Rattus norvegicus: one gene and its partners. The protein of the gene in region 1 purifies or fractionates together with the protein of each later gene. This does not show direct contact. Links are inferred from orthologs where the notes say so. Each region holds a gene or a part of one and is shown in the gene's direction. Other genes may lie near its edges. The genes, in order: Ppp2r2d, Ier5, Ecsit, Ppme1 and Ppp2r1b.

What was found.
Region 2: the proteins of Ppp2r2d (region 1) and Ier5 purify together in Homo sapiens (affinity purification with mass spectrometry; 3 studies listed by BioGRID and IntAct, counting the BioPlex papers as one, with this or other methods). This does not show direct contact. The link is inferred for Rattus norvegicus from reciprocal best matches to the Homo sapiens genes PPP2R2D and IER5.
Region 3: the proteins of Ppp2r2d (region 1) and Ecsit purify together in Homo sapiens (affinity purification with mass spectrometry; 3 studies listed by BioGRID and IntAct, counting the BioPlex papers as one, with this or other methods). This does not show direct contact. The link is inferred for Rattus norvegicus from reciprocal best matches to the Homo sapiens genes PPP2R2D and ECSIT.
Region 4: the proteins of Ppp2r2d (region 1) and Ppme1 purify together in Homo sapiens (affinity purification with mass spectrometry; 4 studies listed by BioGRID and IntAct, counting the BioPlex papers as one, with this or other methods). This does not show direct contact. The link is inferred for Rattus norvegicus from reciprocal best matches to the Homo sapiens genes PPP2R2D and PPME1.
Region 5: the proteins of Ppp2r2d (region 1) and Ppp2r1b purify together in Homo sapiens (affinity purification with mass spectrometry; 4 studies listed by BioGRID and IntAct, counting the BioPlex papers as one, with this or other methods). This does not show direct contact. The link is inferred for Rattus norvegicus from reciprocal best matches to the Homo sapiens genes PPP2R2D and PPP2R1B.

The regions. Positions count from the first base shown.
Region 1 is NC_086019.1:203,093,660-203,099,540, forward strand, and holds the start of Ppp2r2d (serine/threonine-protein phosphatase 2A 55 kDa regulatory subunit B delta isoform), read left to right. Parts: upstream 1-1,922; 5' UTR 1,923-2,028; coding exon 2,029-2,035; intron 2,036-2,121; coding exon 2,122-2,214; intron 2,215-5,881. UniProt on the Homo sapiens protein: Substrate-recognition subunit of protein phosphatase 2A (PP2A) that plays a key role in cell cycle by controlling mitosis entry and exit. Involved in chromosome clustering during late mitosis by mediating dephosphorylation of MKI67.
Region 2 is NC_086031.1:69,818,728-69,824,719, reverse strand, and holds Ier5 (immediate early response gene 5 protein), read left to right. Parts: upstream 1-2,177; 5' UTR 2,178-2,363; coding exon 2,364-3,290; 3' UTR 3,291-4,270; downstream 4,271-5,992. UniProt on the Homo sapiens protein: Plays a role as a transcription factor. Mediates positive transcriptional regulation of several chaperone genes during the heat shock response in a HSF1-dependent manner. Mediates negative transcriptional regulation of CDC25B expression.
Region 3 is NC_086026.1:28,890,704-28,896,847, reverse strand, and holds the start of Ecsit (evolutionarily conserved signaling intermediate in Toll pathway, mitochondrial precursor), read left to right. Parts: upstream 1-2,481; 5' UTR 2,482-2,533; intron 2,534-6,144.
Region 4 is NC_086019.1:164,084,529-164,089,955, reverse strand, and holds part of Ppme1 (protein phosphatase methylesterase 1), read left to right. Parts: intron 1-1,064; coding exon 1,065-1,194; intron 1,195-2,655; coding exon 2,656-2,700; intron 2,701-4,686; coding exon 4,687-4,751; intron 4,752-5,427. UniProt on the Homo sapiens protein: Demethylates proteins that have been reversibly carboxymethylated. Demethylates PPP2CB (in vitro) and PPP2CA. Binding to PPP2CA displaces the manganese ion and inactivates the enzyme.
Region 5 is NC_086026.1:60,097,919-60,103,345, forward strand, and holds part of Ppp2r1b (serine/threonine-protein phosphatase 2A 65 kDa regulatory subunit A beta isoform), read left to right. Parts: intron 1-2,574; coding exon 2,575-2,730; intron 2,731-2,950; coding exon 2,951-3,065; intron 3,066-3,457; coding exon 3,458-3,528; intron 3,529-3,791; coding exon 3,792-3,926; intron 3,927-5,427. UniProt on the Homo sapiens protein: The PR65 subunit of protein phosphatase 2A serves as a scaffolding molecule to coordinate the assembly of the catalytic subunit and a variable regulatory B subunit.

The DNA.
Region 1 (5,881 bases):
GGACCGTAATGTGGAAGCATAAGCCAAATATACTGCCTGTCACTGATTATTAGGGCAGCTACTTACAGTTCTGTCCACTCAGTCTGTCATTCTTCATAGAGAGCATTCCAGTGCACACGGGCACACGTCTGTGACAATGGGAACCGTTTTAACTATTGCAGTCTTCTTACATATCTTAAACATGCAGCTACAATTAGGCAGAAAGGAATACTTAGCAACCCAGGCATTACTTGAGATACCCCTGTCTACGTGGAGTCTGAATAAACTTAAGTTAGATCCCAGTTCTGCAAGAAGTCTCAGAATGCTTCTTCCCAGGCTTGGAATTCCTTCCTCAGGCTTCTCCCGGTATGTCCTCTCAGAGCTGTATACATATGCTTCTAACTCTCTTGATGATCTGGAGTGTCACTTGAGTGACACTCCTATACCCTCACTACCTCACTACTCATTACTCTCACACACCCAGACGCCTGCGGCTCATTTTACCCTCCTACTTAACTCGGGAGACAGTTCTTTCAGAAACAACCCTGGGTGCTGCGGCTGATGGAGGGTGCTATTCCATCATGACTTTCCCAAACTCTGCCACAGCCAGTCCTCTCATCAGAGTTCACCCCCTGAAGACATCGTCCTGCTTTGTCCCTGACCACCATGCCTCCACTACCATGACTAGCCTTCTTTGGTCACTCTGTTCTCCCCTCGGCTTCTGGCTGTGCTTTAAACATGTTAGCGAGCTAGGTGTGCTCAACAAGGTGGAAGCAGAAGTATTTCAATTTAGAGACCAGCTTCAGGTTACATGGCAAGACCCTAATCAAAGTGTGTGTGTGTGTGTGTGTGTGTGTGTGTGTGTGTGTGTGCGCGCGCGCGCGCAACTGAATTAAAACTAAAAACATAGACAAGGTCAGGGTGGACCTTCGTGTGCACTGGCTGTCCCCACTTCTAGCAGCTGCCCAAGATTTCGGAAGGAGACTCTTATCTCCTCCAATTGCTCTCCTTAAGATAGCAACTGCTCCAATCTCCTTTCCCCTGCTTCTGTGCTGTATTTAATTCTACGCCACTTGACTTTCCCCAGGTTTTTCTTATTGTCTCTTCTCCACTGCAGATTAAGCTCCACCAAGACAGACGCATCACCTCTACACAAGCAGCATCCCAGCCAAGACTGAGAACAGAAAAGACACTTGCTAAAAGGCAGAACAGCATTTGTGGAGAATGCTCTGGTTTGGAACAACTGCCCTCTAGTGGTGCAATAAGCTCACTACCAACTTCATAGTGACTTCGGATACGTCAAGCCCACGAACGAATAATTCCTGTTCATGCTAGAAAAACACACCCACAAATAAAGCAAATGTCGACGGTTCCCTGGAGCTATACTGAGAGCTCAAAGAAGTGCCCTGAAGTAGCACTCTGGTGAGATCGGTGCTCAGAAGCTACGGTCAAAGATACTGGGGGCAAGCAAGCCTGAGTGATGGGCAAAATTACGCACGCAGGTGCTGGGTTCCAGGTGCTCCGGGATTCAGAGACCCCGCCAGCCCACGGCCGAGCGCTCTCTATTGGCAGATCCACGGAGGTTCCGCGTTCCCGTTGGCTCAGCTGTAGGAAGGGTCCAGGCCTTCGAGCATCCAATCCAGCCGGCCGCAGAAGAAAGTCTGAGGCCTTAAGAACGCAGAGGGCGTCGCGTCCTAGCCCTTACACCACTCGAGAAGGCCATCTATATCTGCTGGCCGACTATTCCAAGACACTCTTTCCATAGACCGCAGCGGCTACGCAGGCCCAACCTCAAAACAGCTCGCGCAGACGCAGTCGGTGCACGGTGCGCCCCCGGCAGCCCCCGCGGCACTGACCGTCGGAGGAGGCGGAGGGGGATGACGTCATCCGGCGGGGCGACGGGCTTTGGGCGCCATTTTGAAAAGGGAAAAAAATTCCCTCCCCGGCGGCGGCGGCGGTGGCGGCAGCGGCAGCGGCGGTGGCGGCCGGGGCTGAGCGCTCGGAGCGCCTCGGTCGGCCGCGCTCAGCTGGGCGCGTCCCGCCCGCGCCATGGCAGGTGAGGACCGTGCGCGAGCGGGCGGGCGGGCGGGCGGACGGTGGTGGGGCGGGGCGGGGCCGGCCTGACGGCGCGCTCTGTTGCAGGAGCCGGAGGTGGCGGCTGCCCGACGGGCGGCAACGACTTCCAGTGGTGCTTCTCGCAGGTGAAGGGCGCTGTCGACGAGGACGTGGCGGAAGGTGAGGCCCGACCGATCCCCGAGTCCCGGGTGCAAGGTCACGCTCAGCCGCCGGTCCGGACGCGGTCGCCTTTGCCCGCCTGACCGGCGTTGTCTTGTGAGACCCTCGGCCGGCCAAGCATAAGAGAGGGAGGGGCGTCGGTAGGGAGACCGCTGTGGACGCAGGCATGGGGAGAGACTGTGGCTGAGTCCCGCTTCGGGGGTCTGTCGGGGAGACGGCGGTGGACGCTAGCCTTGGGAGGCTGTGGGGAGATGGCTATGGACTCCGGCCTCGGGGGTCGGTAGGCAGATGGCCATAGAGGGCCAGTCTCGGGAGGCTGTGGGGAGACGACCATGGACGCTGGCCTCGAGGTCTGTGAAACGGTAAGGCTGGGGCAAAGGTATCAAGCCTTGTAAGGAAGCTAGGCCTGTGGTCACAGGTCTTTGGAGTCTAGGGTGCACAGCCGTCGTAAATGCAAGTCTCTCTAGAGTCTATACGGAATAAGACGGGACTGTAGACACTAGTCTCTGGCAGTGGCCCCGGGATTCGGCTAGGAGTTGGTACCACAGGGTGAGGTGAGGCTCATTTGTTGTGGGGGGGGGGGGGTGATGGCAGTTGACCTATGGGGTAAATCAGGTCCCGGACACATTTCTGTGGGGGCCCATGGGCTGTCTTCTCCCTGGCACCTGTGTAAGGGGGAAGGATATTCATGCAGGGTTATCAGTCAGTCTCCGGGAGCCCATGCTCTCTGTGCTACTTGACTCAGGATGGGATGGAGCACTGAATTTCTCAGGGTGCCCTGTTTGTAGACCTTGGTGTGCCAGTCTGTCCAGTCCAATCTCTGGCCAGGTAGACATCGGTCAGCTCTGATCTCCACCTCTTGGTGTTGAGCAAGAGGAACTTACTTTGTCATGGGATCTCCTGAAGCTCTGCAGTAGTGGCATTTCCCTGAGTGTTTTCTCTTCCTCCACAGCTCTTTAAAGCCACTTCTCCAGCCTTCCTTCTTAGTTTTTTGTTTTGTTTTAGATTTATTGGTTGGTTGTGAAAGGGTCTTGGTATTGTAGCCCAGGCCTTAAACTCTGTCCCATCCAGCTAAGTGCTGGAATTTCAAAGTGTTTGTGAGTGTAGGCTTATACACGCCCCTGCATGTGTAAAGATTAGAGGACAACGTGTCAGAGGAGTTGATTCTTTTCACCATGTGAGTCCCAGGGATGGAACTTGGGTTATCAGGCTTGACAGCAAATGACTCTTCCTGCTAAACCCCCTTAAATTTTATTTGTTTTTGGGTTTTGAGACAGAGTCTCATGTAGCTCAGATAGGCCTCAAACTCCCTATGTAGCTGAGGCTGGCCTTGAACTGTTTGTGAGACAGGGTTTTTCTGTAGAACAGCCCAGGTTTTGTTCACGAGGCTGGCCTCAGGGATTAAAGACGTGGACTGCTATGCCCAACTTTGGCCTTGAATTCTTGACCCTGCTGTTTCCGCTTCCCAAATTCTGAAATTATTGGAAAGCGCTGCAAAGCCCAGCTTTCCTTACGACTATTCCTGAGCCTCCAGACTCAGTCTGTTGCTTTGTTTTTCCCCTAATCATAGTTTAAATGTGCCAGGTACACAGGGAGCTAGGAGAGTCTAAAGGCTGTGGAGTTTATTCTTAGAGATTTAACATTAGCCTTTTATATTAGAGTCATTGCAGCTTGTTCAGTGTCTAATACATGGGCCTTTCACTCTTTTAAAAGAAAGTCTATTTACTCAACCCACCTTTCTTGTCACTAGCAGCCTCTCCTCTGATGTCCTGTCCTGCTTCTTGTTCCCTCCTTCACCCTGTCTCTTCTGGAAGTGTCTGGCTTGACTCATGACCCTTGAGAACATTCAGAGGTCTGTGGCCCCAGGGGACAAGACCAGACCATGTCATCTTGACCTGTGAAACTGCTCTCCAAAAGTTGCAGAGGTGCATGGTTTGGGGTTGAAGTCAGGTGACTTTTATGTGGAGTAGTTTATTGATTTTTTTTCTTCTGTATTGGCATAAAATGTATTACTGTGTTTCATTTTTCATGTGCCAGGTAGGTGACAGGTCAGCCTCACTCCTGTTGACTCATCCTATTTGTGATAATAGTGGTAGGAAGGTTAATCTGCCTTAATTTTGGGTTTCTGTGTGGTTTGGTTTGGTTTAGGTTTTATTGACCAGTTAAATGAATTTTTTAAAACCTACTTTTATTTATTTTATTTACATGAGTACACTGTTACTCTCCTCAGAAGAGGGCATTGGATCCCATTACAGATGGTTGTGAGCTATCATGTGGTTGCTGGGAATTGAACTCAAGACCTCTGGAAGAGCAGTTAGTGGCTCTTAACTGCTAAGCCATCTCTCCAGCCCCTCAGTTAAATGAATTTAAAACGACTTTATACTTTGTTAAATACCATTCTTTCCCTTAAAAATCATAACAGAAATATTTTGTTGCTTGTGTTAAACTGATTAGAACTTTTTGTGGGTGTTTTGTTTTTGTTTTGGGGGGTTTTCTTTTTAATTTTTGTTTTGTTTTGCTTTTTGTTTCGAGACAGGGTCTCCCTGTGTAGCCCCAGCTCTGTAGACCAGGCTGGCCTTGAACTCAGAGATCCTGCCTACCTCTGCCTCTCTGAGTACTGGAGTTAAAGGCATGCTCCACCACTGCCCAGTCCTTTTATGATTTTTAAACATGTGTTTTAAGTAAAACTTTGAGTACATCTAAAATTTTTAGTTTGCAAGTCTTTTGTATGTGTAATATTATATGATTGCCTGTATTTTTTTCAGTTGTATGTATTTACAGCTTTCTGTTTTAACTCACGCACTTCTTAATCCATCATTTATTTTCTGTCATTTTGTCATCAGACAGCTGAGATATTGTTTGACTTTTCAGTAATGGTTTAAAAAGGCAAAGGTAGTCACTGGACTAGGACTTGTACCAACAAAAATCACAACCCCAGTCTTATCCAAACTCACACTTGAAGAGGAAATGTTGGTGAGAGATAATTAGGAGGTGGCATTTCAAGGGGTTTAATTCATGTGCTGAGGCTTGGATTTGAGATTTTAAAGTATAGCAAAATTTATGTGTTGAAACTTGTAACTTATGGGGCTTTTTGTTCAGCTCTGCAAAATTCCAGGTAGCCCTGCTCCTATTTTGTCTTTCTGCTGTCCTGGGCATAATGGTCAGATGTGTGCTAGAGATTAATAAGTCTCAGAGAGCCTAGGGGACAGAGGGCAGGGTGTAGATAGGCTGGCCAGGCAGAGCAGGATAGAAAGGGCCTTTATTTCTATTTGAGTTTTGTGTTTTAATGTAATAACCCCTGATACAGTATTGAACTGTGTACTAATTGATGCACTATTTTTATGTATATAAGAATTAGATTTTGCTCTGAGTCAGGTTAACTCTTGCTGAAAGTCAAGGTTTCATTGTGTGGTGAGTCCTATATACCTGCAAATAGGAGCAAACTAGGCTCACAGAGAGATTAGTAATTGTCCTGCTGGTGCCCAGATGTGCAAGTGGCTGACAGTAATGATCGGTTCTCCTTCTCCTGTTGGAGAGTAGAGAAAGAAGCAAGAATCAAAATGGCAAAGCCAGGGGACTTGCAAGTACTGGGCTTAAGAATGTTCACTCACTGCTTTATTTGGGAAGATTTTGTGATGTGGAATAACCTGCAACCAGCCTCTGCTTT
Region 2 (5,992 bases), on another chromosome or scaffold:
TCACACTTTTCCCAGTGGAAGTCTGGTGAGGCCTGAGGCCTTGGCCCTTTCAAGATGTTCCTAAGCCTTATTAGGACAATCTGAAAACCCCATTATTTCTGGGTTTATCAGAAAATTGGGGTAGGAATGGAACTGATGGACTTTGTTTTTTTGTTTTTGTTTTTTGGTTTTTTTTTTAATAAAGTCAGAATGCTCAGTGGGCATAGTGGTACACACCTTTAGTCCCAGCATAAGGAGGCAGCGGCAGGCAGGTCTCTGAGTTCGAGTCTAGCTTGGTCTACAGAGCTAGTTCCAGGACAGGACAGCCAGAAAAACCCTGTCTCAAAAAACACAAACTAAATAAATTAATATTTTTTTAAAGAAGCGCTGATGAAAGAAACAAAGCTTTGAAAGGACTAGGTTGTCAGGCTCTACCCCAGATGTACTGTCAGTCAGCCTGTAAATTTAAACAAGCTGTGTTAGGAACATGGGCTATCTCCATACGTGAGTTCAAGTACCACTTACTACATGGCGTTGATAAATATATCTGTGAGATACAGCATTACCAGATACACTGTGTCCTCATGAGTATAGGTCATTTGTAATACAGTGGGTTCCATCAGAACCTCACTGGACTGCATTCCTTAGGAAACCTGAAGGGACACACACACACACACACACACACACACACACACACACCCCTCTGTTGTTTTAAGGGTGAGTGGTCAGGATCTAGATGCAGACTTGGATTTCAATATTCAATAAATATTTGTAAAAAAATTTTTTTAAGGAGAGAAAATGGAGAAGAACCTCATGTTATTACTGACCATACGTTGTGGTTGCTACATGTTATAAATGTTTTCTCTCCTTCTCTATGTGGACTGAGAATTCCTGGAAGGGGGGAACCCTGGGCTTCAGTTATAGCAGGGATAATGGCCAAAGCTAGCACCCCAAAGCATCATATCTGAGCGCATCCTAGTTGTTAACCAGCTCTAATCAAGCCTACCTCACTAGTGTTTCTTCTACATAAATACATTGGTTAGGAAAACCCTACTGTAGGATGAGGTAAACTTTTCACACTAATAGACTCTGTGTAAGCTGTGGTTAATTTTATTATTTAGATTACCTCTGGGAGCTGTCATTTATCTTCTGTATAATAAAGAAGGTATATACATGATTTTTCCTTTTTAGATTTGAAACTAAAGGGCCATGAGGCAATTTACTGAGTCATCAGGCACCAGTACCATCTTGTCGTGGTCTTTTTGACAGGAATTTGTAAGACTCAGTGGATGGACTACATTGACTAACCAGGAAAATTTTAGGAACTTTTGCCCATACTTGACACAAAACAAATTTACATAATCAATATGGGGAACCAGAACTTCTTTATTTGTATTTTTAGAACTTACTAGATTTCCCCAAGAATAGATCAATTACTTACTGTGCATTTTTTTAAACAGACAAAACCATTGTGGAAAAGTAGGTAACATCTTCATTTAATCTATACTGACAACTGAGAATCTGAGGAATGGAATGAAATATGCCAGCTTTGGACGAGAACCAATAACTTTGTGCCTGAATTCTGTTCCTTGATAAAGCAGAAGCTTGGAAATTTCTATAAACTCCCCTTTTTGTTTGTAGTCAAATGCTGAGTGTAACGCTAATGGGAAAGGGACTAACTCCAAAATAATATCTCAAATATATCGTGGTAGTTGTCATATATTGCCATCGCTTCCGTTTCTGCCAAGAATGACCAGAAGTTACAGCTGTACCAGCTGTAAGCAGCTGGAAATTGCTCATGAAAGGAACCGAACTTTATTGTGCAGTAGATTCCAACACACTAAACGGATGAAAGCCCCAATAGTTCGGTTCCTTACAGTGTGCCAATGTACTTCACAAAGCGGAATTCCTAACTACAAACAGTTCTGTGTGCTTCGTTCTACCACATCACCCGCTCAGAACACAAATCCCACCGCACTTGATCAAAGGGTCGCCTGCGATCTCCCCCTTTAAGAGCTTGCTCCGCGGGACTAACGTTTGAACCGGCCCCGGGGCTCCTCCTCTGCCTCTGATTGGCCGGGGGTGGCGCACGAGGCGCATCGGCCCGCCCAGAACGGTTGGCGGCGCTTTGTGATTGGCGTTCGCGGAGCATATATAAACCGCGGTGTGGCCCCGCACCGCTCAGTTTAGAGGCTGGCCCAGAACGGGTCTGTTGACTGAGGAGAAAAGGCGGAGGGAACTACGCATCACTAGATCTTTTCTCCACCGAGCTTTCACACGCTGAGGGTACAACCACAGAGGCGAACCTGTTCCTGCCTCTCGCGCCTCTCTCAGCTTTAGAAGGCAAGCAGGCGTTCACCCCGTCGTCTGGAAGAGGAGGCAGGATGGAGTTCAAGCTGGAGGCTCACCGTATCGTCAGCATCTCCCTGGGCAAGATCTACAACTCGCGGGTCCAGCGCGGCGGCATCAAGCTGCACAAGAACCTCTTGGTGTCGTTAGTGCTGCGCAGCGCCCGCCAAGTCTACTTGAGTGACCCCTGCCCTGGCCTCTACCTGGCCGGCCCTGCGGGGACCCCGGCGGTACCGCCGCCACAGCAGCCCGGAGAGCCGGTAGCGGGGCCACCATCTGGCTGGGGAGAGCCGCCCCCACCGGTCGCCCGCGCCGCCTGGCCGGAGCCCGAGCCGCAGCCTCAGCCTCAGCCTCAGCGTCCCTCGGTGTGCCACACGCCGGGAGCGGGAAGCCCAGAACCGGTGGCCGCGGTGTCCGGAGCGGAGGACGCTCTACGGGGCGGAGAGGAGGACTCGGCGGCAGCTGCTTGGGGCCGCGTGGAACGTCCGCGCGTGGCGCCTTCTGGAGGCAGCTCGGACGCGTGCTCCGAGGGGCCCCGGGCACTGCGCCGCCCGTGTGGCTGTCCGTCGGCCGTGGAGGAGCGGTCCTCAGAGAACGGGTCCCCGGCGCCAGCCGCCCCGTGTCCCAGGAAGCGTGGCGCAGCGGGAGTGGGTGGCGGCCGCGCGGGCTGCTCCGCGCCCGGCTCTACCCCTCTCAAGAAGCCGCGCCGGAACTCCGAGGAGCAGCCGGTCACCGACGAGGAGGACACCGACGAGGAGATGGAAACCGGGAACGTGGCAAACCTCATCAGCATCTTCGGGTCTAGCTTCTCGGGACTCTTACGGAAAAGCCCTGCGGCCGGGCGGGAGGAAGAGGAGGCGGAGGAGGGCGGCCCGGAAGCCTCCGAGCCCGGGCAGATCTGCTGCGACAAGCCGGTTCTGAGAGACATGAGCCCCTGGAGCACAGCCATCGTGGCCTTCTGATCCCCCGGGACCTGAGCGGCTGGAGCTTGAGCAGCGGGAGTCCCCGAAGTGCGGCCGGGGCCTTTCCCGGCCGCGAGGACGAGCCGAGACCGTAGGCGCTGGGCGCGTAAGGGAGACTGGTTGCTGCCGGGCAGCACATCGCCCCGGAAGGGGCAGCCCGGCTGGGCCGTGGCTCTCGAGTCTCATCCTGAGACCTAGAGTGGGAGGCTTATTGGAAGAGGACGATCGATCGTTAACTTTTGTATCAGTGTGTGTCCATGTGTAAGTTTGTCTTGTGTTGAGACGATTCTGTGGTTCTGGAATGCACCACCCCTTCCCCGTTCTCGAGACTTTGGGGGTGCAAACAGGGACTTTCCTCTGCCAGCAGCACAGAAAAGGAAGCTGCTGAAAGGTTCGAGACAGGGGAGTTCCCCGATCGATCTTGGGGAAGAGAGGGACTTTACACACAACCTCTCTCCTGAAAGCTAGGACCACACCGGGGCGCGGAGTGGCGTTTTCTCACAGGATTTCCCCAGACTAGAGGGAGTTCGTCTGGAGTAGAGACTTGTATTATTTTTCTTCCTCCCCATCTTTCTCTGGCACAGAAGAAGCGCTTCTACCCTGTGATTACTCTGGGAAAGCAGAACATTAAGGGACCTTCAATTCCCCACAGGGGAAAAAAAGCTTGCTGAACTTCACAGAAGAGTTCAAGCTTGGAAATATGGAGTTTATAGAGAAAAAGATATATTTTTAAAAGCTCTAGCTCAGAACTTACTACACAGTGCTTTTAAAAAGTGTTTAATGAAACAAAGTTTACAGACGAGCTCTAAGTGGAAGGACCTTATGGTTTTGTAGATACGGTGACTCCAGTCTTTGTTGTATAAAGGTTGGGGGAGCTGATAAGGTTTTTGTACAGTATTTTCTCCTCCTCTGTATTGATTTTTGTATAAAAATGTAACTTTACGTGTCTAACACGTATTAAATATTTTGAAGCAACTCCACTACCTGCTTGTATGTATGTAATCACTTGTCTGGGTTTCCAACCAGGTGGGGGGAGGGGCAGCCAGGCTGGGAAATGGAAGGTGTGGTTCTTCGTATCAGCCAGTCACAGGCTAGGGACATTGTTGGCTGACTAGAATAAGTATCAAGAGAGACACGTTTAAGGGTTTGGTTTGGTTTTTTTGTTTTCACGCACATCCCCATTCACAGGACTAATAGATACTGGAATTAATGACTGGCAGTTTGAAACCTGCCACTGAAACAGCTTTCTCTGTAGTCATGGTTTTCTATAGTTTGACTTGATGGAATCTTTAATATTAAATAATACTAAACGCCAAGTTTTACAGCCTTTCCAATATCAAGTATTTCCACCAAAACTTTGTTTCCTAAACAGATCTGGTAATCTATTAGACCATGGGTCACTTTGTAGATTTGAATTGGGGTGGGAGTGGGGTTTAGAAAGCAACTTTAGAGGTCTTAGTAGGACCAGTCATGAAGAAACCGATGAGATTGACTTCTCTAAATGTTCAGGTTCATCACTCGTGTTCCATTAGATGTCAAGGCTGACATTTGTCTTCAGTTGTAGAAAGTAAATGTTGAAAGTGAAATTATGTGTATCAAACCAGAGAAGGAGACTAAGGAAGGTTGGGTAAATTTAATTCTCATGTAGCAGAACTTCCTGATTTGCTCTTGTCACCCTACATGATGACATAAGTGGTTTTGGTCACGATAAACAGATGACAGCCAAGACAATTTAAAGAGACCGTTTTGTCTGAGGCAAAACGTTCAGTACTTAAGAGGTAATCTCTTAGGAGCAAACCAATTAGACACTCAGTTTTAAATATAATTGCTAGTTCTTCAAAAGATGCCACTAGTTTCTAACTAAGTAGAATGCTTAAGAGGCAGAAACAGGAAAGAGACAAAAGGAGCATAGGAAATATGCTCTTTGGCCTTAGTTTAAGAGTGTGTGTGTGTGTGTGTGTGTGTGTGTGTGTGTGTGTATACTTCTATATGAATTATCATAGTTGAATAGGCCATTGCTTTGCTCTTTAAGATTATGACTGGTTCTTTAAGGAGGAGAGCTGTTGCCTTCCTACTCCATCACCACAATAGTATGTACATAATACATAGGATAAAACACGCTTTAATCAGGGCACTATTCAGTTGTTTTCTTTCAGAAATTAGCTATTTAAGCTCTATTATAACTACTAAGGATCCATTAAGTGGATCTTAAACTGAAGGTGTCCCCGGCCTTCATTCTGCAGCCATTTCCTTTGCATGCATGCACTTATGCTTGACCCGCCCTCTCGGTGTGCTTTGTATTTGAAAGGGGTCACATTTGGTGTGAAGAGAGTTGTGTGCTTGTTTCAGAAGAGACTAAGGCCCCTCTTCATCCTTAGTTGTGCACAAAGATGAGCCGTGGGACCACGTGTCTGCTTAATTTACAGAAGTAAACTGGGAAAAGGTGTCCCGTCTGTCTTTTTGTTGTTGCAGGAAATGAATGGTGCAATAGCATGGGCTCTGGAGCCAGAGTGCCTGCATTTTCATGCCTTAGTCCTGACACTTTTCTCTGAGGACTTCATGTGGCTTCAACTCTGCTTCTTCCTTCCTTGTGGTGGTTTTCAAGTGCTTTCAAGTGAAAGTACAAGGATAATTGTACTTACCTCATAGAGTTGTGAAAATTACTGAGGTAATGGTCTTAGAAAGTACTTCATAGCTGTAGT
Region 3 (6,144 bases), on another chromosome or scaffold:
GTATGTTTTGGAGGTTAAAGGCTCAACACTGACTGATGCCTTCTTGCTGGCAAGGTGCCCAGTAAGTGCAAACAAAGCATTGCGTGGTAAGAGATGGAGAATGAGAACATGTCCTCTGGGTCCTTGAGACACACACACTTTTTGAGACAGGGTTTCTCATTATGTAGTTCTAGGTGGATTGGAAAAGACTGGTAGACCAGGCTGGCCTTAGCTCTAAGAGGTGTGCTTGCTTCTGCCTCTTCTCTTCATATGAGGACACCAGTACTCAAAAACTGGTGACTTTCGTGTCTCGCGATCACCCCTCAATGGCATCACTTCACTCCATCCCTGGGTTAAGTTCCTTCTTCTGGAGTCAGGGTCTTATTAGCCCAGGCTCCCCCATGTCAAGTGACTCTGAAGTGTTGACTCTCTATCTCTCGAGTTCTAGGATGACAGGCGGCATGTGCTGGGTTTGCTCACTTTCCTTTCCTTCTCTTTTCTTTTCTTAGCTACAGATACAGTTTGAGGCTAACCTGGGCTACATAATAATAGGTATCCTAAAATCCTAAAAGTAGCTAACATCCTAGAGACAGTTAATCTAGTGGCCAAGCACAGTGGCATGGGATGCTTATGTGTGGTCGGGTCTAGAGCAGCCCTCTCTGCAGTAGCATGTCTTATATCTGCAGATCTCTTCGAGTTCAAGGCCTGCTAGAACATAGTCCAAGAATGGAGTTTTTGTGAGGGTTCTGAGTGCTCGTAAGGAAAGAAGATATGACTCCTGTGACCTCCATTTCTTCAAGACACAGAATTGTTCTTGTGCTTCTGCCCAGGTGTAGTGAATGGCAGTGCATTTATTACAGCCCTTGTTATTCATGTGCCTCTAGGGAAGACATGTTTTTACTACGCATGGCCTTATAATTGAACACCTCACCCATGCGATGCCTCTTAACCCTCAGAGTATAACTTGCCTGAAGCTCTGAATTAATGGTGGCTATTGAAGGAGACTTTAGTCAGCCTCAAAATGAGGCTCCACTCTCCCAGGTTTACACTGCCAACTGGAGCTGTAAACAAAGGCTAAACTGGTCTGCATAAAGAGTTCCTGGCTAGCCAGGCCAAGCAACACAGCAGGACCCTGTCTAAGCAAAACAAAAGGACTGGGGCTATACCTCAGTTGGTAGAGTAACTGCCTACAATGTCAGAGGCTCTGGACTGTACCCCAGCACTACAGAGACAATGTGTGGTGGCATAGGCCTGTAATCCCAGGACAAAAGAGACAGGAAGATCAGATAAGTCAAATTCAGCTACACAGAAGTTCAAAGCTAGTCCAGGCTGCACAAGACCTTGTCTTAAAAATGATTACTTATGAGGTTGGCAGGTTAGCTTGGTAAAGTGCTGTCAAGTCTGATGGCTGAGTTCAATCCCTGGGACTCCCAGGATAGATTATAGCAAATTATCGCCACATGCACCACCCGCAAAATAAAACAATGTTAAAAAAAAGCCTATATTCAATCAATATATGTATATGTGTATGCGTCTGTGTATGCATATGAATAATATATCTATATGTAATCGCTATTATCTATACACACATACAACAAATCCAGGGCCATCCAATCATCTACACATACACTCCATAGGCCTCTAAGCTCTCAGTGTGGGTGGTCTGAAGAGTCAATCTAGACTCCCAGTTGGGGAGGGAGAGAGGGGTGTCAGGAATGCATGTCCTTTCTCACAGTAGCCCTTGTTGTACTTATATGGCCATTTCACATAGATGAATTCAAACTTCAAAAATTGTTACTTAGGGGCGGTAAAAGTGCTCATAGCCAAGCCTGATGACCCAGGTTTCATCCCCAGTACCCACATGGAAAGAACATTCCCCCTAAGTTGTCCTGACTTCCACACGAACGTGCTCACACAGATTTACTTACACACATAACACACAATGAAAATAAACATAACTTGACATTCTGTTAAAGCTGTTGGCAGTGTTGCCCACCTGAAGTTCCAGCTATTCAGGGGGCTGATCCCTGAGGATCTCTTGAATCCAGGGTTTTGAGGCCAGGCTGAGTACCACTGCAAGACCCTGACTCAAACAACTGGACCAACCAAACTAAAAAAACCCGTTTAGTAAAAAGAATAAGAATAAATCCCGGGACTTAGGCTGTGGCTTAGCAGACAGCGGTAGAGTGCTTGCTTAGCACGCAAGAGGCCATGGGCTCCGAACCGGATGTGGTGCTTCCAGTCCGTAACAATAATTTACCATCACGGCGGAGAAAACTGGACCGGACAGACGTAGGGGAACCCGATCCAGCGCCTCCGCACCGGTACCCAAGGCTTCTAGAGTTCGGTGAGCAGCAGGGCCTGCTCCTGAGGAGAAACCAGTGTCTTCCGCCTTCCTATTGGTGGATCTCCACTTGAGGGCGGGACCTATCGTCACAGGTTTTTCTGATTTGCTGTCACCTTCGACTCGTAACCGGAAGCTGTGTGGCTCAACATGACGGCGCCCAGCGGTCCCAGCTAGCCTGCTCGGGTGTGCGGGTGGCCGCGTGAGTAGGTGGGTCGCGCGTGGGAGGGCTATGGGACCGTCTGGGATTGGGGCGTCCACTTCCAAGCCTGGTAGAGCCGGGGAATATGACCTTCAACTCGACCTCAGTCAGGGCACTGTGACCTTTTCAGGTGCAGGCTTGGGAATGAGCAAGGAAAGGTTGCTGGGCACCTCTTGCTGCAGGCGTTCGTTTCACAGATGGGATAGCGGACTCGGGCAACGTACATTGTCTGTGAGGCAGGCATTGGAACCTTCCAGCCTCAGAGACTCAAAATCGTGCCAGCCCACACGCATACATACACGCTACCTCGCTGTTCCGATTTATCCATGTCTTGTAGAAACTTTCTGCTTATTCACACTCAGTTGATCGGTGTTGGGCATTTACAGTGTGCCAAGCACTGACCCAGTTGGTGGAGACACAACAATGAGAAAAACAGATTTTTTAAAAAAGTACTATCTAGGAGAGCCAATTATTGAGCAAATCACACACACACAGAACAGGTAATCTCGTGATTTCAAAACAGTGATTGTTGCAAGCAGTGTGTTTTTCCCTGATTCAAGAGTCTTTATGTGTCCCAAGCTGGCCTCGAACCCATCATGATCGTCCTCCTGCTTCAGCCCCCGAGTTCTGGATTATAGGCATACACCAAAACAGTAAACAGTAGGCAGAGGGTAAAACAAGTTCAAAGCCTGGGAAACCAATAAACTTGTCTTGTTTCAGAAACAGTGTAGCTGGTGCTACAAGAGAAAGGGGGAGTACAGCAGGTAGAAGCCATCCGATGTGTATTTACTTTGAAGTTTTATTTTGGTTATGGTGTGGGGGGTGGGACACATGTGCCATGGTGCATGGTGCAGGTCAGAGGGCAGCTCTGAGGTTTTATCCATACACCTTAGGTTGGTTCCAGGGTTTGAGCTCAGGTCATTAGGTTTGCTTTGTTTTGACAGCAAGTTCCTTTCCCAGCTGAATTCTCTCTCCCTGCTCTTGTTTAAAGTTTAGACAGGACCTTTCTGTAGCTCAGACTGCCATGGAGCTCACTAACGATCTCCAGCTGTTTTGATTCTGGAGGCCATCCTCCTGCCTCACACTCCCCAGTGCTGGCTTTACACACACAACACCTATCTCAAGCACATTTTCTTTTTAAAGACAGGGTCCCACTATGTAGCCCTGGTTGGTCTGGAACTTGCTGTCTGTATAGATTGGTTTCACCTCAAACTCAGATCCGCCAGCCTGTGTCTCCCAAATGCTGGGATTACAGGTATGTGCTATCACACCCAGCATTCTTGTGTGTTCCTGTGTGGGTACAGGGATGTATGTTAGTGCATGTACACATGTAAGCACATGTATGGAGGAAAAATGTCAACCTAAGATGTTGTTCTTCAGGAGCTGTCCACCTTGTGCTTTGGGGCCTGCTGCAGGGAGCTCAGGGCTCTGTTACAGGGAGTTCAGGGCTCTGTTGCAGGGAGCTCAGGGGCCTGCCTGCTTCTGCTTTCTCAGATTCCTCAGATTGCAAGTGCATGGCACCTCACCTGGCTTTGTAATGGGTGCTGGAGCTCAGGTCCTCATTCTTTCAGGGCAAACAGTTTACCAATGGATCCATCTTTCCAGCACAACTGGTTTCTGTTGTTAAGAGCTTCCTTTTGCAATGGAGGGAAGTAACTAGCAGGGCAGAGAGAAGGCAGAAAGGTATGCAGGAAATCACTGTGGAATGGTATGGTGGCCTGCAAGGGGATAGGTTTGGAAGTAGTCTCCAGGACTATCTATTGACTGAATAGGGACATAGTGACTGCTGAGCAATTCTTACATTGGGGCCTGAATAACCAGGAAGGGTGGTGCTACTGGCTGGCCTCCAGAGAAGCACAGTCAGCAAAGGTGTTGTCAGTGTTCCCTGGATGGAGTTTGGCATGGCTGGTTTGTACCAAAGTTATACTTAGGTATGGAGGCAAAAACATTAGGGAACCATGAGCATAAACACTAACAACTCTAATGCATGAGGAGCCACCTATGGGTGTTACAATGCAGATTCTCATGCAGTAGACCTGAGTTACAGCCAACATTCTACAGGTCCTGGAACACAATTTGCAAGGTTTTAGAGTCTTTTTATCCAACTATACCAAGCAAGTACCTACCTTGAGCCACACCATCAGCCTTTCCGTGGGGGATTCTAGATAACACTGAGTCTCAGTTCCAGCCACTCACTAGGGGAATCTAGCAGAGGCTCACTGGGCCCAGCAGCTCCCTGGAGGAGTCTAGGCCAGGTCTATAGAGTCCCAGCCTGAGTCCAGTCTAGTTACATTTCCTAGGCCAGCAGCTGTTGATAAAAGTTGTCAGAAGTATGGTCATGTTTCCACTAAGCCTGAATCTACAGGTTTTGTGCTCCCAGGGCATTTGTCTGCACCCTTGGCAGTGTTGCAGATAATGCTGACATTGAAAGGCATCTCATGATTGGCTGAGAAGTAGGCACGGGTGCCAGGGAGAAACCCAAGGATGTTAGCAAGGACTATAAGGGAGGGGACGTCACTGTCTGATACTTGGAAGTTGACACCTCAAAGTCATTGCCTTCAAAGTGTTGAGCACAGCGGTGCATTGGGCGGGCATTACTGACAGGACTAGGGCAGCCGTCAGGCTGCTGAGGAGGAGGAACCAGTGTGTAATCATGGCTTAGGGGAAGCTCTAAGGATAAAGAAAGCAGGGAGTGGAGGGAGATTTGGGGCCAAGATGGGAGATACTGGAAAAAGAGTTGGATTTTTTTTCTCCTTAAATAGGTTCTCATATGTAGCCTGAGCTGGCTTGGAGCTCACAGGAGTCTGGCTGCCTTTACTCCTGAATGCTAGGATTAAAGGTGTGCATTACTGTGTCTGGCTCAACTAGAGAAGGTTGTTTGTTTGTTTTTACTTAGAGAGAGAGAGAGAGAGAGAGAGAGAGAGAGAGAGAGAGAGAGAGAGAGAGTGTGTGTGTGTGTGTGTGTGTGTGTGTGTGTGTGTGTGTGTGTTCATCCACTGGAGGAGCGGAAGTCAGGACAACTTGTGGGGTCAGTTCTTTCCTTCCACTCTGGATTTCGGGGATGGAATTCTGGTTGTCAGACTAGCAGCAACTGCCTTTGTCTGCAAAGCCATCTTGTCACCCCAAAAGGAGTTTTGTTGTTGTTTGGTTTGGTTTTCTTGGTTTTCTTTTCCTGATTTTGAGACAAGTTTTCCTGTAGCCCAGGCTGGCTTCATACTTGCTGTGTATCCAAGGCTGATCCCACCTTCCACCTCAGCACTGGGATTTACAGGCGTATGCACAACACCCACCTCCAGAAAGTCTTAGTGGTGGCAAGAATGATCCAACCTCTTCCTAACATGTTCTCTGTGGCCTAGCTACCCTGATACAAAAGCAAACAGGTATACTAAGGAAACTACAGACTAGTGCCTCATGAACACAACTGTAAAATTCGCTTGCAGTGGGCTTGCGAGCATGCAAAAAGAATTCTACATCTTGCCTAAGAGAATTTATCTTCAAAATACAAGGTTAGATTATTTGTTTTTGTCTTTTTTTTCTTTTTCCAAAGCTGAGGACCAAACCCAGGACCTTGTGCTTGCTAGGCAAGCGCTCTACCACTGAGCTAAATCCTCAACCCATT
Region 4 (5,427 bases), about 39 Mb from region 1:
ACTTTAAGATCATTGAAATATCATCCAAAAATACCACTTAGACTTGATTCCACTGACTGGCTCACTTTGGGTGCTGTGGACATCTTAGTCACCCACTGATCTTGAGCAGACAGTGTCATCTTGTCCACATCTAGATCTCCTGTTGCAGTTGGTGCTTCGTCCTGCCATTGCTTCAGTTGTATCTGACCTAGTTCTATGATGCAGGCAAGTAGGGGACTCAGTAGGTCACCTAAAGGTTTTTTGTTTGGTTGGCTTTATTTTCTCAAGACTGGGTTACTCTGTGTAGCCCTGGCTGTCCTGGAACTTGCTTTGTAGACCAAGCTAGCCTTGAACTCTGATCTGCCTGCATCTGCCTCACAAGTGCTGGGATTAAAGGCATGCTCTATCACAGCCCAGCTAGTTCACCTAATATTTGATAGCATACTGTGTGCCATTCACCACCCAGTTGTCAGATGTATTTGTCACGTCACCTTATTAGAACGACTGTCCCTGGTCATCATCATCAACCTGAAAATGAGAAAACAGCACTGTACTCACAAATGAGCTTGTTCTCTCCCAGACGTCTACCACGTTTCTCTGGTAGTCATCCTAACTTGAAGGACAGTCTCTGCTTTTTCTTTCACTTAGGTTGGTGGGGGGGAGGGGAGGGGTGGTGGCAGGGGTTCTTTTGTTTTATTTCACTATGTTCTTTGTGTGAATCTTTTGCTAATCTTTATACTCACTGAAAGGAAAGTTGTACCTTGGCTCAATAGTTATTTGCTTCCTAAATTTACCTAAAGTTACCAGTAGTTATGGTGAACCTTGTTTGTAGCACTGGCCATTTGGGAGGTTGAGGCAGGAGGCTTCCGTGAGCCAGAAGAAAGCCAATAGGAATGAAAAAGAAAGGTCCAGATCATCCAGAAGTTACAGCAGCGTGCAGTGCTGCTACAGGGTTAAATGGACACTCACCTATCTGGGCTGTAGTGAACTCGTAACAGTGCTGGCTCACCTTCCTTCCCACAGACCTGGTCTTGGTCCTGCTCCCCGGGCTCAACCTCAGATTCACCTTGCTTTCATCCCTACAGACCAAGAAGGATCATCCATACACCTGGAGAATTGAGCTGGCAAAAACAGAGAAGTACTGGGACGGCTGGTTCCGAGGCTTATCCAATCTCTTTCTTAGCTGTCCTATTCCTAAACTGCTGCTCTTGGCAGGTAAGTGCTGTGTGTGTGTGTGTGTGTGTGTGTGTGTGTGTGTGTGTGTGTGTGTGTGTGTGTGATTGTGAGTGTGTGTGATTGTGAGTGTGTGTGTGATTGTGAGTGTGTGTGAGTGTGTGTGATTGTGAGAGTGTGTGTGTGAGTGTGTATGTGAGAGTGTGTGTGTGATTATGAGTGTGTGTGAGTGTGTTTATGATTGTGAGAGTGTGTGTGTGATTGTGAGTGTGTGTGTGATTGTGAGTGTGTGTGATTGTGAGTGTGTGTGAATGTGTGTGTGATTGTGAGAGTGTGTGTGTGATCGTGTGTGTGTGTGAGAGATTGTGAGTGTGTGTGTGTGACTGGGAGTGTGTGTGTGATTGTGAGTGTGTGTGTGATTGTGAGTGTGTATGTGAGAGTATGTGTGTGATTGTGAGTGTGTGTGTGTGTGTGTGTGTGTGTGTGCCCGCGTGCCCGCGTGCGTGTGTTTGTTTTTCCTTGGATGAAATCAAACATTTGAAATACATTTGAAATACTCAAATAGATTGGGTGGCTTAAAGAAGTGAACCTTATTTTTCTCACAGTCTGGGGCTGAAAGTGTAAGATAAGAGTATGGGTTGGATTAAGTTCTCAGAGCTCTTCCTGATTCACAGACCTTCTGTGCTTCCACATGGCTAAGAGGAAGCAAGACAGTTTTCTGAGGTCTTTTACAAGGACAATAATCTTATTGTGTCAGAGACCCCCACCCTACAACCTCATTTTACCTTTTGTAGACCCCATCTCCAAATATACTGGGGGTTATGGCTTCCCCATGAATTGTGGGAGACAGCCAGTCCATAGAAGTGTGAGTATACTGTCATCTAGATGTGACCTCATCACAACTGTTACTATTAACCAAATGGGCAGTGACTTCTAAAGTGGAGAAACCCCCTTCTAACCAACCCCTATGCAGCCCTAAACCTAATGGGAGTAAACACCCTCCAGTCTGCATGCTGTTGACCTGCCCTGAGGACCTGGTGGAACCTAACTCCTAGAGCACTCTGAACGCTGAATCTAGACAGAAAATGTTGTTTTTGTCTAAACATCTGTGAGTGAGCATGAGCAGGGCTGCACAGACAGCTCAGTGGTTAGGAACATTCATTACTCTCTAGAACCTGAATCCAGTTCCCACTTCTCATACGGTGCCTCACAACCGTCTGTAATTCCAGGTCTAACATCCTTCTGACCTCTACATGTGCCAAGTGCATATGTGAAATATGCAGAAATAAAATAAATAAATCTTAAAAAATGAACATGATTACCCAGAAATCTCAACCTGAAAATTTTCATCTGTTAGGAATATGGAGTCAGAGAATTGTATCTGTCTGATTGAGAGTGCAGTGGTCTTTACAGTTCTGAGGCCGTGTTTACTCCGTACTGAGAAGCCCGTTTCACAAGGCCTTTTCTAGGGAGTTACTCACAGATTCTCCTGTTTTGTTCTAGGTGTTGATAGATTGGATAAAGATCTGACCATAGGCCAGATGCAGGGTAAGTCATCCAGGAATTGTGCCCATGGATCCTCTTCTGAGGGCAAGGAAATGTGGGCAATCTTAGGAAAATCGATTGTAGATGGTGACGCACAGTGGAGAGAGCATGAGCAGTGAGCCAGCTCTATTGGACGGCCTCCTCTCCAGCCCGGGAGGGGGTGTGGTCGGGTATCTTCCCTTCCCTTTTGTTTTGTTTGAGGGCTGGTGCTGTTGTTCTGTTTTGTCCCCACCCCACCCTGGACAGGTTTTCTCTCTGTTGCCTTGGCTAACCTAGAACTCCCTTTGTAGACCCCGCTGACCTCAGACCGCCTCTGCCTCCCAAGGTTATCTTCCCTTTTTTGAAGTGACTGACTGTCTTCCCCTAACTAGAGATGGGAGCTATTATATTATCTGTAACCACGATGGAAAGGTTAAGATGAAGTGGTCCATCTGGAAACTATTAAGTCTATAGAAGTGCCTAACACTGGGATGGGAACAGAAAGAGTTTTCTCAGCGTTTTTTTTTAAATGTTGAGAGTTTAAGAAAGAAAAAACATAGGTACCAAAGGGAATAAAGTCTGTTAGAAGACATCATGGTGAGGAGGGAGAAGAGAGCCTCAGAGTGGTGGTGAGTTTTAGATGCTGCTTCCCAGTAATCAGTCAGCTGGAACATTGTTCACGTGTAAAACATGAACATTGATGCAGCCTCAGAGGGGTGACGAGGTGTGGTGGGCATGAGTGTCACACACAAGTGCAGAGAGGAGGGCCATGCAGCTGTGGATGCTGCAGGACCCATTCTTTGCTCTGTGTTAGAATCATATGAGTTAATAATATGACAGATCTGAAGGAGAGGCAGCCATATGCAGGAGGAGGGCCATTAATAGGCTTAATAAATGGTATGGACTCAGTCCCTTCACTAATCTCACAGCCTTGGGCAGGGCATTGCCCTAATCAGAACTAGGTTCCTTACCCATGTGATTGTAGAGTTGGTTTTAACAGTGGATAGAATAGTACACTGAAGACATGAGCTACTGTTGCAGGAGAGAACCACTGCTGTGCCTGCATTGGTGCCCCAAAGACTGTTCCAGCTCTCTTGCATTTAAATGGGAAAACTGGGTTCAGAGAGTAAGATGGCCCCTCACACTTCCTCACCAGTCGTTAGCATTTAACTGCAGTGCTTGGCTGCCAGGCACACCCCTGCTGCTCCTGCAGCAACTCAGCTCAGCTCTGCTCACTCTGACACCAGACCCTTGGACCAACACACACCAGCAGAGCTACATTGCCCAGCTGTTCACTCTTAATTCTGTCCTATTAGGGTTCGGATTGTAGCTCACTGGTAGTTTTGAGTACCATGCTTGGGCCCTAGTTTTAATCCCAAATAGCCTCGCCCCCCAAATTACTGTAAGTTGTAAGCTTGCAGTGTTCTGTAAGACAGTGTGAGGAAGTACATCTTACAGAGCCTGGCCCATTGTTAAATAGTCATCTGCTGTCTTTTGTAATCATCCACTTCAGTATTCTTAACATAACTTGCAGAGTTCCGCATGTGGCCCCTGCTTTTCCAGTACAGCTCCATTGCTGCCACTCACATCAGCATGGTGCTAGGCCATCATTTCCATGGGTAACTGCCATTTTAAGCCATCTCTCCCTGGAGTGGGCTATTCTGTGTTTGTGCAGAAGCCTGCCTGGATGCCTGCTGGCTCATCAAGACCTTTACTACATTTTTACAGTCGATGTGACCATTTTCACACTTGGGACCACATCGACGATAGTGTTGTGTTTTACTCTCCCACTGGACTGAATCCTGTGAGCACAGGGGCTGAGTTTTCTGCCCAAAGTGAATTTACACCAAGAGGCAAAAGTGAACCATGAAAGGAGAGGAACAGGGTCTAGTTACACTCGTCAGACTGTCCTGGAGATGGTCCTCCTGGGCTGCCCAGTGACCTGTGAGGAACAGAGATGAGGAGGGAGGGCTTTTTGTCCCTGAGGTTGCCTGCTTGTTTCCTCTCCAGGGAAGTTCCAGATGCAGGTCTTACCCCAGTGTGGCCATGCAGTCCATGAGGATGCCCCTGACAAGGTAAGTCTGGGGCCTGGTGACTTGAGAGGACAACTGGGAGGAATGTGGGTTCCACAGAAAGTAGGATAAGCCTGCCATGGGGTTTATCTGCAATCTGCCAGCTCCCCAAGCTCCTTCCCAGTCAGTGCCTGTGGTCTTGACTTTGTCTGTGCTGAAGAGCTGCTGGCCCACTCTGTTTGATCCCAGAGCCCTGTGGCTACCACTAAAGCCAAACTGCACCCTAAATCCATTTGTACTCAGAGATTAATAGTGCTTGTAAGAAAAAGGTGCTCATAACCTTTCCAGAAGTAAACCGTTGCTGAAGCCCAGCTCCCACACCACAAGGAAAACCGAGGAGAGCCACGTGTGCAGTTGGTGATTGTGGCCTCTGCTGACTGCAGCAGGAAATATACCATCAGTGGTAGTGTGGGCAGGAGCAAAGCTTAATTATCTGGAACCAGTACTTTCTGTGACCAGTAAGAAACTAAACTCTTTGGGGGCTGTGAGAAAGAAACAGAAGACTCTGTACACAGAAACTTAGTGGATGAAGCAAAGCAGGCTCCAATAAGCAAGTTTCAACAACTTCATACATACGTACATACATATATACATACATACATACATACCACCTTACATATATACACATGCACACCTAGTGGAAAAAGGAAAGCTCCAGCGAAGCTCTAACCATTTTACA
Region 5 (5,427 bases), on another chromosome or scaffold:
TCAGGGACAGGTGTCTTGCAGAATTATGGGCTCTGTTACATATGGAGATGAAGCATTTCCTGGAATTCTGACTTTGTTAATTTCTGCATTAGAGTATGGTTGTACTGCACACAACAGTGACCTTAAATCCAAGGGTCTGGGTTTCCTTGGTGTAGAAATGAGAAAAATTGGGAATTCCTAAATTCTTTAATACAGTTGTTTGTCAGTACAGAGTGTGGGGATGGTTCTAGGATCATGTAAGAGTGCTTATCTTAGATTTCAGGTCCCATATGTAAAATGGTGTACACAATCTCCAGAACACAGACACTCAAGGAAGTGGAAGTCCAGCTAGTTTATGAAGCTTGGTTAAGGCTATATGTAGCTAGTTGAGTGTACATAGGCTTTAGCCACAGCACGGGGGCCGGTGTGGTTTCTTTGTGCTGGGATAGGAGTAGGCAGGCGTAGAATCTTTATTTGGAATTTAGCTGGTAATATTTCCCATGATGTAATTTGGCATTTTCTTTTGTCTCCTATACTTCCTGTTTGCAGATTTTAAAAATTTTTTTATTTATTTTTTTGATGAAGGCCAGCCAGGAAATGCTTTGAGGGGCCTATAGTTCCTATGAAACTCCACTCCCATGGTCCAAAAGCAGCCAGAGTATGGGAACCAATGGGCATGAAACTTACCCATGTCCTAGGTGGGAGCTGGCTGTGAGCATTTGGTGCTCAGAAAATACTCCATGTATTTTATTTTGGAGAAATGGAAATACACTGTGCTCCCTCTGACTGTGTATAGAAGACCTGCTCCTGGCTTACCCGTGGACAGAAACATTAAGTACCTACATATATATATATATCTATGTAAGGCATGGTTCTTATGTTAACTGCTGTGTTAAAGGCAGACAGGGTCCTTACTCTCATGGAACTTACATTATAATGGAGGAAAACAAACATGATAAAAATCAGGCATAAATGTTATAAAAATCAATGTAACACAGTAGAACACTGGCTGCTAGTCAGCAGAACTCTGAAGAAGTGACAGGCAGGCAGGAGACAACTAACATTGGAACATGGTGGTTGAAAGAGTCCAGGGAAGACAGGAGTGGAGAAGGAAGGTGGGAGCAGATCATAGCCCAGGGAAGACTTTGCAGTTTTGATTTTCTACTGTAGACTCAGTGAGGCTGTACGTAGATGTGGAGAAGAGGTGTGGTGTGTAATTTACATTTTTGAAAGGTCATTCTGTCTTATGAGTGGAAACAAAATTGTAGGACGGATAAGAATAGAAAGAGAAGGCCAGGTAGGTGGCATTGATAGGAGCCAGGCAAATGATGAGGGTGCTTTGTTGTGTGTGTGTGCTCTATTGTATCACATAGACAGCAGTTTCTTGTCCCATTTTTCCTTTGGTGCTCAGAGGATTATATGTCTAAAGTTTTACTTTATCTGATTTTCCTAAGTCTGCAGTCATGACTTCTAATGTCTGACTGAGCTTTAATTTAGTGTTCTACTTACTCAGAAGACATCCAAGGGTCCCGCTTGGCGCCTAGCAGCTCTGTACACAGAGACACAAGTTAGCTTCCGCCTTTCTGTGCACACTGGAGCCTGACTGTGTCACTTGGCTGTCACCTTGTCCCTTGTCCCATCTCATGCTGCTGTGATCAGCTGGAAAGAGCTGTCATGGTGATCTCCTTTGTCCTTTAAATTCTTCAAATGTGTTATTAAGTACTTAGGCAAGGATAATTTTTCAACTCCTTATAATGCTTTGAATATAGCATAGTTTAAAAAAATTACTCTTTATATCAGATGTGGGTAAAATGTTTGCCTGATCAACACTCAGAACCCATGGAAAGGTGGAAGGGGAAATCTGACTTACGGGTGTTGTCTTCTGACTCCCACACACATTATTAACATACAGTAAATAACATTTAGAGCATCTTCTTTATGTTAATAAAATCTTGGTGCTGCAGTCAAGATAATTTAACCAGATTACCATTTGTGGTTTTCACATGCCAGACTAGGCAAAGGAAGAAGTTATGCAGCCATTTGAAGACTTCAAGCCACAGCATCATATCTTAACTAGGGTTGCCATTGCTGCCATGACCAAAAAGCAAGTTGGGGAGGAAAGGGTTTATTTGGCTTACACTTCCACAATGAAGAAGTTCATCATTGAAGGAAGCTAGAACAGGAACTCAAACAGGGCAGGAACCTAGGAGGAACTGGTGCAGAGGCCATGGAGGGGTGCTTGCTCCCCTCCCCATGGGCTTGCTCCCCTCATGACCTACTTATCCTACTCTCTGATAGAACCCAGGACCATCTGTCCAGGGATAGCACCGCCCACAGTGGACTTGCCCCACTCCCATAAATCATTGATTCGGAAGATGCCCTACAGGCTTGTGTACAGCTTGATCTTCTCTGGCATCTTGCCAGTTGAGGCTCCCTCCTCATGGATAACTCTAGCTTATTGTCCCATTGACAACTCAGCAGCACAGTGGTTTTTCTCTCCCCTGCTTTCTGAAGTAGTACCTGTGGCAGAAATCTCATACTGCACTCCGTGCAGCATTTCAGCAAATTGACCAAACAGACTGTTTTTCTCTTTAGGATTCTGTGCGCCTGCTAGCTGTAGAAGCGTGTGTCAGTATTGCCCAGCTACTGTCTCAGGATGACCTGGAAGCCTTGGTAATGCCTACACTTCGGCAAGCAGCAGAAGATAAATCTTGGCGGGTTCGCTACATGGTGGCTGACAAATTTTCAGAGGTAAAATGTGTTGGCATTTCAAGGATTAAAAACCTCAAAGGCATTTGCCCCACAGATTTTCTATCGGACACAGCTTACAAATTCTGTTGAATGGTTGTGAATTAAAAAAATAAGAGAGCCTGCTTAGTTTTTCCATTTTCATTACTCTATGATGATTGTACTAAATTTTGTTTTTACTATTTTGTTAGTATACATTACACCTGTATAAATTGTTTCCTAGCTCCAGAAAGCGGTGGGCCCTAAAATTGCACTCAGTGACCTCATCCCCGCCTTCCAGAGCCTCCTCAGAGACTGCGAGGCCGAAGTCCGAGCAGCCGCTGCCCACAAAGTAAGAGGTGAGACTGGCTGTGGAGTCCTGTGACTTTGGCGTTGTCCACTCACTGTAGTTTGGATGGCGTTTTGCTAAAGTAGGACCCAAAATGTATAAACCAGAGAAAAATGAGTCTGTGCAGCAACATTTCCCACTCTGATGCAGTTGTCATGGTAGGAAGTCTGGCCTAGTTTTAATTCATAAGACGCTGCAGACAGATGATACCAGCATGCGGAATGTGGCACTGTCCTCGAGAGCTGAGGAAGGTCCCATAGTTGAGATCAGAGGACTTTCAGCTCTGCTGTGAGAAGTAGGCGTATTGCCCCACAGAGGTTGTTTGCTTGGACTTATGATTTAACTTGGAAGATGTGGTTAATTGTCCTTGGCTCCTTGACAGCACTGTGTTTCCTGTTTCAGAGCTTTGTGAGAACCTGCCCACTGAAGGCAGAGAGACCGTGATTATGAACCAAATCCTGCCCTATATAAAGGTGAATGTGACTTCATTTTATTTTGTTTACCCTACCTATGAAGCTCTTAGCATTTAAAGAAGAAAGAGGCATAAATGAATCAAATGCATAATGTGTGAAAATATTTATAGTTGATTTGTGCATGTTATACTTGTAAAGCTTGTGGACGCATAGTCTGTTACTCCAGACGGCTGGGTCGGCCGCTCTGCTGACCAGTGCTGCTGTGGACTGCTTGGGAGGTGGTGTGCAGGCTTTCGTTGTCTTTAATTTTTATTCTGTTTTAGGAATTAGTGTCTGATACCAACCAACATGTCAAGTCAGCCCTAGCTTCTGTAATTATGGGATTATCTACAGTTTTGGGCAAAGAGAATACCATTGAACATCTTCTGCCTCTATTTTTAGCTCAATTAAAGGATGAGGTGAGTCTGGCTATGAATCCCTTTGCTTTGGTGTAATTGATTTGATAGGATCTTGTTTCTTCTCCTTTTCTTTTTTTCTTTTGGGTTTTTTGAGACAGGGTTTCTTTGGGTAGCTCTGGCTGTCCTGGAACTCGCCACTCTGTAGACCAGGCTGGCCTTGAGCTTAGAGACCTGCCCGCCTCTCTGCCTCCCAAGTGCTGGGATTAAAGGGACTGGAAAGCTTTGGTTTGGTGATTTTGCTAAGATAGGACCCAAAGTGTGAAGATGGGGCGGGGGAATCATAGTTTAGATGTTTGACAATCCTTCTCTTTGGGTATAGGGTTACAGGTTTCCCCAAAACTGGGCACAAGGAGTAATTAAAAACAAACCCAATTGTGTGTGGTGGAAAATGCCTTTAATCCCAGCACTCTGGAGACAGAGGCAGGTGGATCTCTTAAGTTCAAGGCCAGCCTGGTCATAGACCAAGTTCTAGGAGAGCCAGGGTTACTTAGAGAAATGCTGCCTCTAAAACCAAACCAACCAAGCAACCAACCAAGAGCGGCTGGAGAGGGAGCTGCATGGTGAGCTGCATGAGCTCTTCCAGAGGACGTTGGTTTGCTTCCCAGCATGAGCTAACAACTGTCAGTGAATCTGGTTCCGTGGGGTCTGAGCCTCTTCTGGCCATTGCAGGTGCCAGGTCCACAGAGCATAAACATGTTCATGTAAGTCATGAAATACGTCAGTCTTAAACTAGCCTGAACTACCTGCTAAATGTTTTATGTTATATCACTGGTTCCTTATAGTTAAAGTTCATATATCTTTGCTTAAACAGTATCTTTTTACTTATGTTTAAAATGTAGCTTCAGATATTAACATTTAGTGGCCTGAGGTGTGGCTCAGCAGTTAAGAGGCCTGCTACTTGTAGAGGACCAGAGCTCCAATTCTGGTGTCCATATTGAATGGCCCATAAGTGCAACTCCAGTTCCAGAGGATCCAACTCCCTCGCTGGCCTTCATGGGCACCCACACATTTGGGCACACATGTACACTTTACACAGACAGTACATACATACAGATGAACAAATGATGTGAAAGTTAGTGTCAGGCATGATCGGAGTGCTTTGGATATGCCATTCACACCCAGCGGGCTTGAGGCTGACTCCTCATGCAGAGGAAGTGAAGCACAGGGATAGACATCTGAGGTCTCCCCGCGCAGGGGCAGACCTAAGACTTGAGTACATAGAACTGAACTCCAGGGCCTGGGCTTTTTACCATCGCATAGACTTTATGCTTAATTATTAATTAAAAGTTTTTTTTTTCTATTCTTTTTTTGGAGCTGGGGACCGAACTTAGGGCCTTGTGCTTGCTAGCAAGCGCTCTACCACTGAGCCAAATCCCCAACCCCTAATTAAAAGTTTAAACTTTATTATTGTGTGAGTGAGTGTGCACTCGTGTATACATACAGAGCTCAGAGGCTATCTCTGTGGAGTCTGTTCTCTCAATCCTCCTTTATACGAGTTCTG